Caenorhabditis elegans: one gene and its partner. The protein of the gene in region 1 purifies or fractionates together with the protein of each later gene. This does not show direct contact. Each region holds a gene or a part of one and is shown on either strand. Other genes may lie near its edges. The genes, in order: ctg-1 and Y116A8C.33.

Region 1 (6,177 bases):
AAGAAGCCAAAAACAAATATTCGAAAATGGTATAACTATTTGTGGATATTTCTTTGCAAGTTCACTCTGAGAGAACCTGGAGAAATGGCTGACCGATATAGAAGTATAACTTCTGATAAACACAAAAATCACCATCACCATCACCATCATAAGAGTAAGGAGGAGAAGCCGAAAGAAGCCAAAGATCACAAGGAAAGGGATCGAGAGAAGGACAGAGAAAGGAATCGTGGAGAAAGGCGGATGGATCATGGTGAAGGAACTAGTAAGGACCATCATCGGGAACATCATAAAGATCATCACAAGGATCATCACCATCGGGAGCAACATAAGGTATTCATTAAGAAAACAACAACATTTTTTTGATGTTTAATATTTTCAGGAGAAAAACCGCCGACATTAGTCTAACTCCATCTTTTCGTCTACCTGCACACACTACACTCACGGGTTCTTCGTAAACTGCGATATAATTTCCATCATCCCGTTTCTCTTTCCCCAAAACATGTCAATTTTTAGTTTTCAAATTCGTTGTTGATAAATAGAAATTCTTATTCATTTCTAAATGATATAATCCTAATTTTGTCCGTTTATTTGCCATTCCTTATCCATCTAGCTCGATTTCTTTTCCTGTTTTCTTTGGTCGGGTTTACTTTTTTTTGTTTTTATTTCAAATGTTTATCACATTTCATCTTTTTTTGTTTCCTTTAATAATGATCTGTTTAATAGTCTTATTAGCTACAAAGCGTGATCTTTATATAAAATTAATATAATCATTAGTTTTGAAAATTGTAAATAATTATACATTATTATTATCAGCGTTATCCTCCGATTAACATTAGAATTTACAAATCTTCGATTTCAATATTGTAGCGCAATTGCTTGGCAGAGAACCACGAATAGTAGTTGTCGAATTCGAGAACATCTGAACGCTTGAAAAGTTGAAAATATAAAAAAAAGAAGAAACGAACAGTTTCCAACATCAGTCACATCGAGATGTCCTGTGATTGGAACATTTGTACATTCGAGACGAATATATGGATAAACAGTTTCCATTTCAGTTAACTTATCACATGATCCTGTTTTATCATAATGAATTTCAAACCCAATGTCATCTTCATCAGTCATATAGGTCCAGCTGGAAAATATTTTATTACAAAATTTATCACCGAATATTCTAGTAAAACTCGAAATTTATTTATTTATTACAGTCATAATTTTGGCAGATGACCGCAAAAAATTATAATACATGATCTGATTTAAATACGTTTTAATAAGGCGTTCAAAAATGTTGAGCATTGAATTTTAAAACAACCTAATTGTTTAAAGTTTAAATTTGGCAATTTTTCAAGAATATGCTTTTAAGATACATGTTGAAAATTTGCAAATATTTGATCCACCACAAAAACCCATTACAAACCTTATCCGGCTTGGACGTTTCACTTTGATCTGAATTAAATGTTTATCTCCTGCGTAAACTGTAGTCAATTGATCGTAGTCAGCCATCGCCTTTTTTGGATCCACGAAATAGCTTTCATCGACAGCGCCACCTCCGTATTTGATACGTGACGGACATTTTGGGTCACCGTTTTCGACGAGATTACCTCCCCAATACATTGGCCATGCATCGAGGTTTACGATTTGAGCAAGAGACCATTTCCAATCAGACTGAAAAATATTTATTGATTAAAGTTCAATTCAACGTTTAATACGATCTTTGATTTTCCTTATTAAAAAAGTTCTAACGATTTTATCGAAGAATTGATCTAGTCTTATTCAGTTGTAATATTTGTATTAGGAAACCAAATAAGTCCTTGGACAAAAATCATAGATAATCTTAGAAAACATAATGAAAATATACACTTCAAAATTTTTTGTTGGAATTTTTTCAAAAATAAAAAATCTTACCTCGGAAGGCATTTCCACGAGGCGAGTGATCGGATCTTGAAGAATTGCCGTAATAGAAGCGTACGCAATTCTAGCCATTTCTGGTGCTCTGAAATGTATTCATTTATAACAAAGACGTAATTATTACTAACCTGATAATAAGAATCTTCCGAAGAAACAATGGGTAATGATCTTGGAAAAGACTGACAAGAGTTGTAAATGATGAAGCAAACTGTTTGCATGAAAAATGAGCAGATGTGATATTTTCCAAATCAAAGACTAATGTCATTTGTTCGAATGGACGGCCGGACTGCAATATTTTGTTTTTGTAGGTCAATGCATTTGTTTCCAAATGAAAACATATTGTTAAAAAAACACCCTAACTATTTCAAATTTTTCTAAAATTTCAGGTAACTTCCAAATTTTCAGAAATTTAGAGCACTGCCAAATAATCGAACACCAACAATGTTTAGATAAAAGTAGTGAAATCATACTGAGAAAATAAAAATCGTAAAAAAAAGGGACTCATTTTCAGCCAGAAAATAATTTAACTTATAATCAATACACTTCTCAAACATTGAAAGAACACACCTCTTTTGCTTTTTCTTCACAAAGTTTCATTCCTTTTTCAATTGCAGCCAATGAGAATTTGATATAATCCAATGAAGCAACTGATCTCAAAAGTCCTTCAACATCCACATTTCCCAACAGTGACATAAGGATTGGACGTCCTTCTGTGTCTCCCAGCAATCCATAACCACAATATTTTTCTAGACACTGAAATTAAATTTATATTCAATCAGCAGCTTTCCAATCAAAACTTCAATGTTTTCATACATTTTTCTCCTTAGCTTCTATGATTTTGATCAACTTTGCCCCTTTCTTTTCAAAATTGAATTATAAAATATCTGACAAATTTTATTTTTCAACGTTGTAATTTTTGGATCTTTATCTTATGAATGATAAAATCGTTGAAGCTATATAAAAGTGATGTATGATCTATAATGATTCATTAAATTCATCATCACTTACTTCTGGAGGAGTCCATTGTTCAATTTTATCAAGATGCCAAGCATTACGGAATGTCACATGCTTCTTTAAGCTTTCAGCAGTTTCATCAAATCGTCCTTCTTTTGCACGGAGCCAGCGGAGCACATAACCATCGTTTAAATTGTCTATTTGTGGAACTATTGATCTAAATATTGAACATTTTCTTTCCAATTTTTGTGAGTAATGTAATTTTTAATTGTTCATAAATTCAGTAGCTTTCTGAGTCTATACTGCATGACTAAAGCTATCAAATTTAGAGTAGCATCCGTGGGGAAAATGTTTAGAAATTTTTCTATGGTGCGAAAATGACCAAATATCATAGCAAAATTTTTCAAGTTCTTTTTTTTTGAAATTTTTGTCTTTATAATCAAAACGTAGCAATTACCCAGTCTTCATCTATCATAATTTTGGAAGCAAATCAAAAAAACTTTTTTTCAATTTTTTAAACGTTTTTTATATTTCAAATGTGCTCCCAGTATTTGTCTTCAAATATTATAAGCAATTGAAACAAGCGAATTGCTCAAAAATTCTTTAAAAGTACTCATTTTCAACGAAAATTTGGCAATTTTACAAAACGTTGACTGATAATTTTTTAGAGTGTTTATGAAAAAAAATTACATTGTTTGGGAACAATTTGTGAGTATAAAACATTTGAAGACAACTTTTCCGGGATATTCTATGATCTCATCCAAAACTAAGGCGGGGGATTCACCATCGTATAATTATTTTAACAAGGTCGTTCACAATTCTTGTGGGAAGAATGGACAACTTATTTATTGTATGTGACAATGAAAAATCTTCTGAGATTGGAATTTAATATGTTTTGAAACAATTTGAATATAAAAGTTCAAAGTAGAAAGTACGCGAAAGTTGAACGGATATTACAGAAAAATAAAAAGATGTTTATACGGTGATTACTACATGGAAGATCACAATCTTACCCAACTTTGTGAATTTGGTTGAAAACTATTGTAAGATTGAATATATTTTATTCTAAAGTTCTAACAGTTACTACGTATCTGTAACTCAAAATCTATTCAAAGAAGGTATTCAGTGAAAATTTTCAAAAACAAGTAGTTTTTTTTAATTTTCGAAAAAAAATTACGGTTTCTTTATAAAGATGTAAAAAATTCCTAATCGGAATAAAATTGTAAACGTGTAAATCAATATAAAACGTGTCAAGACCTGTATACCTGAGATCTCGAATAGTTTGCTGTTCGATGGACGTTGCAGCGGCAGTCGGCGACACCAACATTACTCGATGCAATGAATGAATTGGACGAGATGGAAGAAAAGACGAGATGGGATTGAAAAAGAAGAAAAGAAGAAGGAATAGGCGGAATGTCTGTCCACTCTACACTCAATCTTATACTATTTCTCAGTTACTGTAGTATTGTCTATGTTGTGTAATATCTCCGCAAATCTGTCGCATCGGCCCCCGTGTCTCGTCCAGCAGCAGCGCCGGTCACCGCCTTCGTCTCTTCCGAAGGCCTCTTGTAGATTTCAATCGTTGGTGAGGAACGAGAAACAGCCTAAGGAAAAGAATTGCAGGTGTCATCACATGGTTTTTGTGATTTTTGGAATGAATATCAGGTCTTGGAAATAACACCTAACTTGACAAAGTATTCAAATATAATCGGCCAATCTGTCAGGAAAATTAATGTTGAGTGTCGTTGTAACACTTATTTAAAAAACCGACGTGTGTTGAATGAGAAAAAAAGCGTTTTGTGCGTTTGGCACAGGCAATCTATCCCATGCTCACATTTCCCATGCACACATTTCCCATGCTGACATTTTCTCCCGTGCATACAAAATATTCCCATGCTTACGCCCAGTAGTTCGAGTACTCCCATGCCTACAACTCATGTTTTCCCTTTTTTCCGTTCCCATGCTGACATTCTCATACATACATTTTTTCCGGTGCATACAAAATTCCCATGCTTACATCCAGTAGTCGAACGTTCCCATGCTGACATTCCCATATTTTAACATTTTTTTTTCTCTCTATTTTGTAGGATATCATTAATTCGGTGAATTCCACAACTTTGAATGTTCATATTGCTGTTTCCGTGCAGTTATGAGTTTCGCAGTGTCTTAGGAACATTCCATTTTTTGTTGCATTTTGTAGGAATTCGGAGCTATCTTATAATTTCTACAAATTAGAAAGTCCATTTTGCATTATTTCATGTATCTCAAACCTATTGCTTCAAAAATAGCACAGAACGAATGTTGATTCTGTTTCTTTCATTAAAAAATGTGCTACTGTGCATTTTTTTTTCCCACTTCTACGACTTTAAAGGCGCGCGAATTTTCGCGCAATAATCTCGCCACGCGCATCCCATTGATTTGTTGAGCGCTGGCGAGACCAATGACGGGACCATTTTGTATAAATCGCGCGCCTTTAAAGTCGTAGAAGTGGGAAAAAATGCACAGTAGCACATTTTTTAATGAAAGAAACAGAATCAACATTCGTTCTGTGCTATTTTTGAAGCAATAGGTTTAAGATACATGAAATAATGCGAAATGGATATACTAATTTGTAGAAATTATAAGATAGCTCCGAATTCCTACAAAATGCAACAAAAAATGGAATGTTCCTAAGACACTGCGAAACTCATAACTGCACGGAAACAGCAATATGAACATTCAAAGTTGTGGAATTCACCGAATTAATGATATCCTACAAAATAGAGAGAAAAAAAATTTTTGAGCAAAAAAAAAATTTTACTCTATAGGCAGTCATCCCCATTTTTCTTCGATTCCTTGTTCATAATCGAGAACTAATGCATTTTGAAAAAAAAAGTGATCAGTTGTAACTGAAAGCTGTCAAGTAAGCCTAATACAATGAAAATGAGTAAAAAAATTGACTTTGTTCTCTTCTGGAGCACAAAAATGCTCCATGTCGGCATGGGAATACATTTTTGTAAGTATGGGAACAAATGTTTGTATGGGAATGTCAGCATGGGAACGTTCGACTACTGGATGTAAGCATGGGAATTTTGTATGCACGGGAAAAAATGTATGTGGGGGAATGTCAGCATGGGAACGAAAAAATGGAATAAATGAGGTGTATGCATGGGAGTACTTCGACTACTGAGCGTAAGCATCAGAATATTTTGTATGCACGGGAGAAAATGTATGTATGAGAATATCAGCATGGGAACGAAAAAAAAGGAGAAAAATGAGTTGTAGGCATGGGAGTACTCCAACTACTGGGCGTAAGCATGGGAATTTTGTACGCACGGG
Region 2 (6,085 bases), on another chromosome or scaffold:
GCACGCGCATGTTATTTCGGAGCATCTTTTAAAATTAAGATTTAATTTTAATTTTGTTTTCAAAATTTTCCTAGTTTTCAGGTTTAATCTTTGTGATTTTTCATATTTTTTTAAAGATATTTTTACAAGTTTTTCAATAAAACCTGTGAAAAAAACATTTTTTATAATTTTAAAATTGCTATTTTCAGTGTCAACTTTGCTCGTCCACCAAAAGCCACCGAACGCTCACAGAAACCTGTCTGGGCAGACGACGAATGGCTCAAAAAGTATGGAAGAGGTGGAGAAGCTGCTGCGGAAGAAGACGGAGACGCTGAAAAAGCCGCCACGTCATCGTCGTCAGCCTCGACGAAGCTTCCACGTGTCTATCTGGGAGTGAAGATTGGAATTCGATATATTGGACGAATAGTGATCGAGTTAAGAACTGACGTTACACCGAAAACTGCCGAAAACTTCAGATGTTTGTGCACAGGAGAACGAGGATTCGGTTATGAAGGATCGATATTTCATCGGATTATTCCAAAATTTATGCTTCAAGGCGGTGACTTTACGAAAGGAGACGGAACCGGCGGGAAGTCGATCTATGGAACGAAATTTGATGATGAGAATTTCACGGTTAGGCACAAATTTTGATGAGCGGTATACTAGAAAAAATACTGTAAAAAATCGCATTTTCACAACGTTATTTGGTAATTATGCCAATAATTCGTGCTAAACATCAAATTTTCTGTAGAAAATGTGCCAAAATATGCGAAATTTTTGAAAAAATAACGAAACGAGATAAAAAATTTATTGATTTTTGGCAAAAAAAAAATCAATAGTTCTATTCAAATGCATCTCGTTTCAGAAGAAGAACGATCTGAAATTGTTCTCTATTTTATATCATGACACTACTACCAAAATTTATTTATCGATCCTTAAAATTTGCAAAAAATTTTGTTGCACAGAAAGTGGGACGGAGCTACGCAAAATTTTTCTCTTCTTTTCGAATTGGATAACATTTTCATTCGAAAAATCGAGAAAAATACAAGTAAAATTGAAATTATATTGCGGGGAAATACCTCATGCGGCAGTGTTGTGAAGCTACGCTCCGCCCCACTTTCTGTGCGACAAATTTTTTTGCAAAATTCAAGGATCGATAACCAAATTTACAGTACCTCTAGAAATTCCTGAAGAACTCCAAATTTGAATGGGGCCCATTGCAAAATTGTATTGTGCTTTGATAAAATAAAATCCAACGCTGCAATCTTCTCAAGAAAAGGGCTCGCCGGATCCATGGCTCTGAGGGCCTTTTCAATTGGGATAATATCAATGTCCGGAATTTCGGCTGTCAAGTTCTTGAGCGGATTAGTGTATCCTTTCAATGATTTAGCTCTCCACACATCAATTCTTGAAATATAAGCTTTTGCTTGACTTATTGCTGTCTCTAAGGAAGAAATATCTTCATGTCCCTTGACCTGACTAATCAGTGGCTCCAAGTCCACTAGACTATAGACACTTTGAACTACACTCTGAGATATGCCAATTTCATCGGTTTGATTCAACATCTGCGACATCTCATTCATTCTCAATGTCACCGGACTCGCAACTTCTCTCATTTTCTCTGGAATTGTTTTCACTGTAGAGAGTTCGTGTGAAAATTTGGATACCAATGGAGCAATCTGTTGAACATTTTGCAAATCTGCTCTCATAAACGCTTGAATCAATGGAACCATACGGATAACAGCTTCCGAGTTGTTTTTCAACTTTTTCAAGCAATTGTGAACTTCCAATTCGGAAGATATCTTGTCCTTGAATTCTTGGCTTTTCAGTTTTTCTTCAATAGCTTTACTCAAATTTTGAAAAATGAAAATCTCTTTATAGTCGATTGCTTTGATGCGGTCTCTGAGTTCATTTACTGTGATCAGGAATTTCGGGACACTTTTAGTTTCTAGAAAACGTTTCAGTGTTTCATTAACAAAACTTTGATTGTTTTTTAATAGTTGGAGAGAGTTAGAGTCCAGGAATTTGTTAAACTTTTTCTCAAATGTGAAACGATCGATAACATTATCCAGGTAATTCGAAAACAAGGTAACGTTACGCAAAAATTCGACATAAACTTTATCGGGAGACACAGCCGGATGCAAACGATAGCATGCTTCAAGCTTCTTCAGTACATCTGCAGAGTTTTCAATGTCAAGTGGAACTGATGAAAGTAGATTCTTCAAGTGTTCAAACCCATCAGAAATCAGAGAGTTTCCAGAGATAGCTGCCAACTCCTCATCAAACTTTTCAAGCATTTTATGGGCAATTTGTAGAGGCTTAAAGCTATCTGCCAGTTGGTTCAACAATGTTCTGTTAGCTCTCAGAATTCTTCCCAGCCAAGGATCTCCGAGCCGTTTAGAATCGACTCGTGGAAATTCTCTTTGTGCATCATTTTTGAGCTTTGTCACTCTTTGGACGTCTTCCTCAGAATCGTTTCTCTTCTTCGAAAGCTTGACCATTTGTAAGATGCTACTGCTCAAAATATCTCCTTTCTCATCTGTTTCTAACATATGAATCTCATTTCGATCATTCATCAACTTGAACATTTCTCGTAGTGGCTTAAACGTCGATTCTATTGATTTGTTCATTCCTTCAAGGTATTCAACATGTCGTACGCTCGAGACTTTGAGCATTATACTACCTAATTTTTCCAACAAAAATTGAGGACTCATTGTACGCTCGGTAATATTGAACGGCACATTCAAGCCCTCTTCAAGCCACTGCAGCATTTCGCCGATGTATTCAAGCATGTCGACTATGAAACGATGCCCATTGTCAGTGGAATCCTTGACATCTATAGCTAAGTCACGAAGAGTGTCAAAAAACTTATATTTTCCATGTAGTTCCAAAGTATTTCCATCAAATTTCAATTCATCAATGAACGTATTATACTTGATTAGTTGGCTCTCCACTTTCAATACTTCTTGCTCAGATCCCATTGATGTAGCCTTCAGATCATCAATCAATTTGAGAATATTTTCAGATTTGAAATTGGAAATATCAGAATTTCTATAGCTATTCAAAATTCCATCAATTGCAATAGTCTCATTCATTAATCCAGCTTGAAATTGAATTCCTTTTGGAAGTTGAGCAACTGTCGAGATACGGTCGATGTATTTTGATGGGAAGTACGGTGCTGAAATTTTTGAAATTTTTCAAGAATTTAATTTAGAAACGGTTGGAAACTGAAACACGGATATTTGTGGCTCAAAATCCACAGAGCTGATCTTTCCAGTTTTTATTGTACCAAAAAAAGAACCCAGAGGTGTTATACTCATTGTACAGTAGAGCGCCCTTTTATGGACGTAGCTTTTGCCGCCCCGTCACAGAGCGGTTTTTACTACGTGGCCGTAAAATAAGAAAACTCGGTGGCCTTCATAACATGGGTTCGGAACATTTTCTCAAAAATCGCCACGGTGGAACTATAATCCCAGATAAATCATTGGCCGAGTTTTGATTTTTCTAGGCCACGTAGTAAAAGCCGCTCTGTGCCGTGTTCAAAATGGTCACGTTTTGCAGAAAATTTTCTTATTTTTGTCATCAATTTTTTTTTTCACAAATTTTGAACAAATGTCATCAAATCGTACACCGTCACGCCAGTTTTGCTCAGTTTTGAGCCATTTTTCGTTTACTTCTTATTAATTGTATTCCGAAAAAAAAACAACTTTCTTATAAGAAATTGCCGAATCTCCGTTGTCTCCGAAAACTGTTGTCAAACTATACCCACGTTTTGCACAAAATTTGCTTATTTTTGTCATTCTTTCCCCGAAAAAATCCCACGTTTTTCTTTTCAACATTAGAAGAAAAAATTATAAAATTGTGTGCCGAGTACGTGCAGATTGCATCGAATTTCCCCCAACATATTCGCCAAAAAACCCGTATTTATACCTGGTGGAGAGAGCAATACATCCGGTACAAATGTGAAATTGGCGGGATGACTTGAAATTTGAATTGTTAGAGCTGAAAATATCAATAAAAAATCTGAAAATTACGAAATAAAAAACCCACCGATAAGGAAAACTACAAGAACTTTCATTTTGACGCCGATTGTGTTGAAAAATCGATGAGTTATCGGTTTTTTGAAGTTCAAATGTTCGAAATAAATGTTTTTAAATTGGGAAATTAACTTTTTTTTTTTTTTTTTAACTAGTTTTTTAAAAATTTTCACGTGCCCCAGAGTTTAAAAAAATTGGAATTCCTGTGTCAACTAACACTTAAATTGTAATTTTCTGAGTATTGGTGCAAACATAGGAAAAATTTCAAAATTGCAACTATTTTAAGCCAATTTTGACTCAAAAACTCTCCATCCAAAACCGCAGAAAAGTCAAAATTTTCCTTTTTTAATCTAAAATTTTTGCCATTCTTTATCCAGAGTCGAAAATTGTCCGTTTGAGACCGATTTTGCACTTAAAATTTCGGATTTGAATGCATTTTTATCAGTTTTTGCATTAAAAACCCATATTTTCCACCTAAAAACTCTTAAAATTCCGAAATTTTCCGTTTTTAACCAAAATTGCAACAATTACTAGCCAATTTTCACTCAAAAGCTCGAATTTTCCATCACAAACCGCTGAAAATTCGAGAATTTTCCTTTTTTATCCGATTTTTGATCTTAAATTCCAAATTGTTTTTCCATTCTCTTTCAAAAACCGCTCCAAATTTGAAAATTGTCTGTTTTAGACCGATTTTGCATCTAAAATTCCGTATTTTAAGCATTTTTTCACCTAAAAGCTCTAAAAATCTGAAAATTTCCAGCTCCGCCACACAATGCCCGGCACAGTTTCAATGGCGAACTGCGGTGCGAACACAAATGGCTCACAATTCTTCATTTGCACCGAGAAAACCGATTGGCTTGACGGAAAACACGTAGTGTTCGGTCATGTTGTTGAAGGAATGAATATTGTACGACAAGTCGAACAGCAAGGAACTCCGTCTGGCAAACCTCAGATGGTTGTGAAAATCGTGGAAAGCGGGGAAATTGAGCCGGAAAAACGGATTGCCGCCGAAAAATTGGCCCAGAAGGCAGTTGTTCCGGGAGCCGAGATTCAGGAGCCGCTTCCGCAGGCTATGGAGACTTAATTTATTGAATTTTAAAATTTATATGTTTTATTTTCAAAAAGAATTGTTTTAATTTATTTTCCTTTTTTTTTCCAATTTTCGTTCAGCGTCTCTCAAATCGCTATTATTTCTCTATTTTTCTTTGTATTTCCCTCTCAAAATCAACCACCCTACAGATGTCGAAAACTGGTGGAAACACGGAGCCAATGCCATTCATCCGGAAATGGGGCAACGAAGCTGGCGAAGATTTGGGAGCTGCCCCCAGTGCAACAGCAGCTCCACCACCAGCACTTGTTGTGCCAACAATTTCCTCCATGTCGTCTGGTGATAATAGTGAGTTTTTGTGTCGAAAATGGAAATTTTGTACATTTTTTGTATCGAAAAATAACAAAAAATCTATATTTTTTAAAATTTTTCGACGTTTTTTGAGTCTTGAAACTTGAAAATGCACTATTTTTGTTTTTTTAATCGAAAAATCAGAAAAAGTCGTATTTTTTTGAAAATTTCGGCAATTTTTCCCCATTCCATCGTTTTAGACAATTTTGAGTAAAAAACCTAGTAATCTATCATTTTTGTATTTTATGTCAAAAAAGGTGGAAAAATACAATATTCTTGTATTTTCGTCATTTTTTGAGTCGAAAAATTAGAAAAATTAATGGATTTTTCGATATAACAGCGAAAGTTTAAAAAAAGTCACATTTTCGCTATTTTTTGGCGATTTTGAAGGCTTTCTTTGTCGAAAAGTTGCAAAAAAAAATTGTAAAAAATGCAGAAAAACATGGAAAAAACTCAATAAAATTAAATACTCTGAATTTCCCCATATTTCAGAATCGCCATCTCGTTCGGAATCGGTGTCTGATCGAAAAAGGGACCGATCACGTTCTCGTGATCGTGACCGCAAGAAGGATCGAAAGAAGAAGGATCGTTCACGTGAACGAGATCGTGAACGCCGATCCTCTCGTTCCCGTTCTCGATCTCCTCGAGATAGAGATCGTGAACGTCGTCG

Evidence for each region.
Region 2: the proteins of ctg-1 (region 1) and Y116A8C.33 fractionate together in Caenorhabditis elegans (co-fractionation; one large-scale study listed by BioGRID). This does not show direct contact.

The regions. Positions count from the first base shown.
Region 1 is NC_003279.8:7,003,729-7,009,905, reverse strand, and holds ctg-1 (Protein ctg-1), read right to left. Parts: upstream 4,464-6,177; 5' UTR 4,187-4,463; coding exon 4,125-4,186; intron 3,077-4,124; coding exon 2,914-3,076; intron 2,659-2,913; coding exon 2,473-2,658; intron 2,192-2,472; coding exon 2,034-2,191; intron 1,991-2,033; coding exon 1,903-1,990; intron 1,663-1,902; coding exon 1,415-1,662; intron 1,133-1,414; coding exon 966-1,132; intron 920-965; coding exon 840-919; 3' UTR 706-839; downstream 1-705. Other genes in the region: chd-1 (Chromodomain-helicase-DNA-binding protein 1), read left to right, coding at 1-330, 380-400. UniProt on the Caenorhabditis elegans protein: Vesicle trafficking protein. Functions in uterine cells to promote basement membrane (BM) mobility and BM gap formation during tissue remodeling.
Region 2 is NC_003282.8:17,110,153-17,116,237, reverse strand, and holds Y116A8C.33 (uncharacterized protein), read right to left. Parts: upstream 4,126-6,085; 5' UTR 4,058-4,125; coding exon 4,030-4,057; intron 3,982-4,029; coding exon 3,910-3,981; intron 3,158-3,909; coding exon 1,155-3,157; intron 857-1,154; coding exon 821-856; 3' UTR 772-820; downstream 1-771. Other genes in the region: cyn-13 (Peptidyl-prolyl cis-trans isomerase E), read left to right, coding at 189-612, 4,777-5,100; sfa-1 (Branchpoint-bridging protein), read left to right, coding at 5,256-5,412, 5,908-6,085.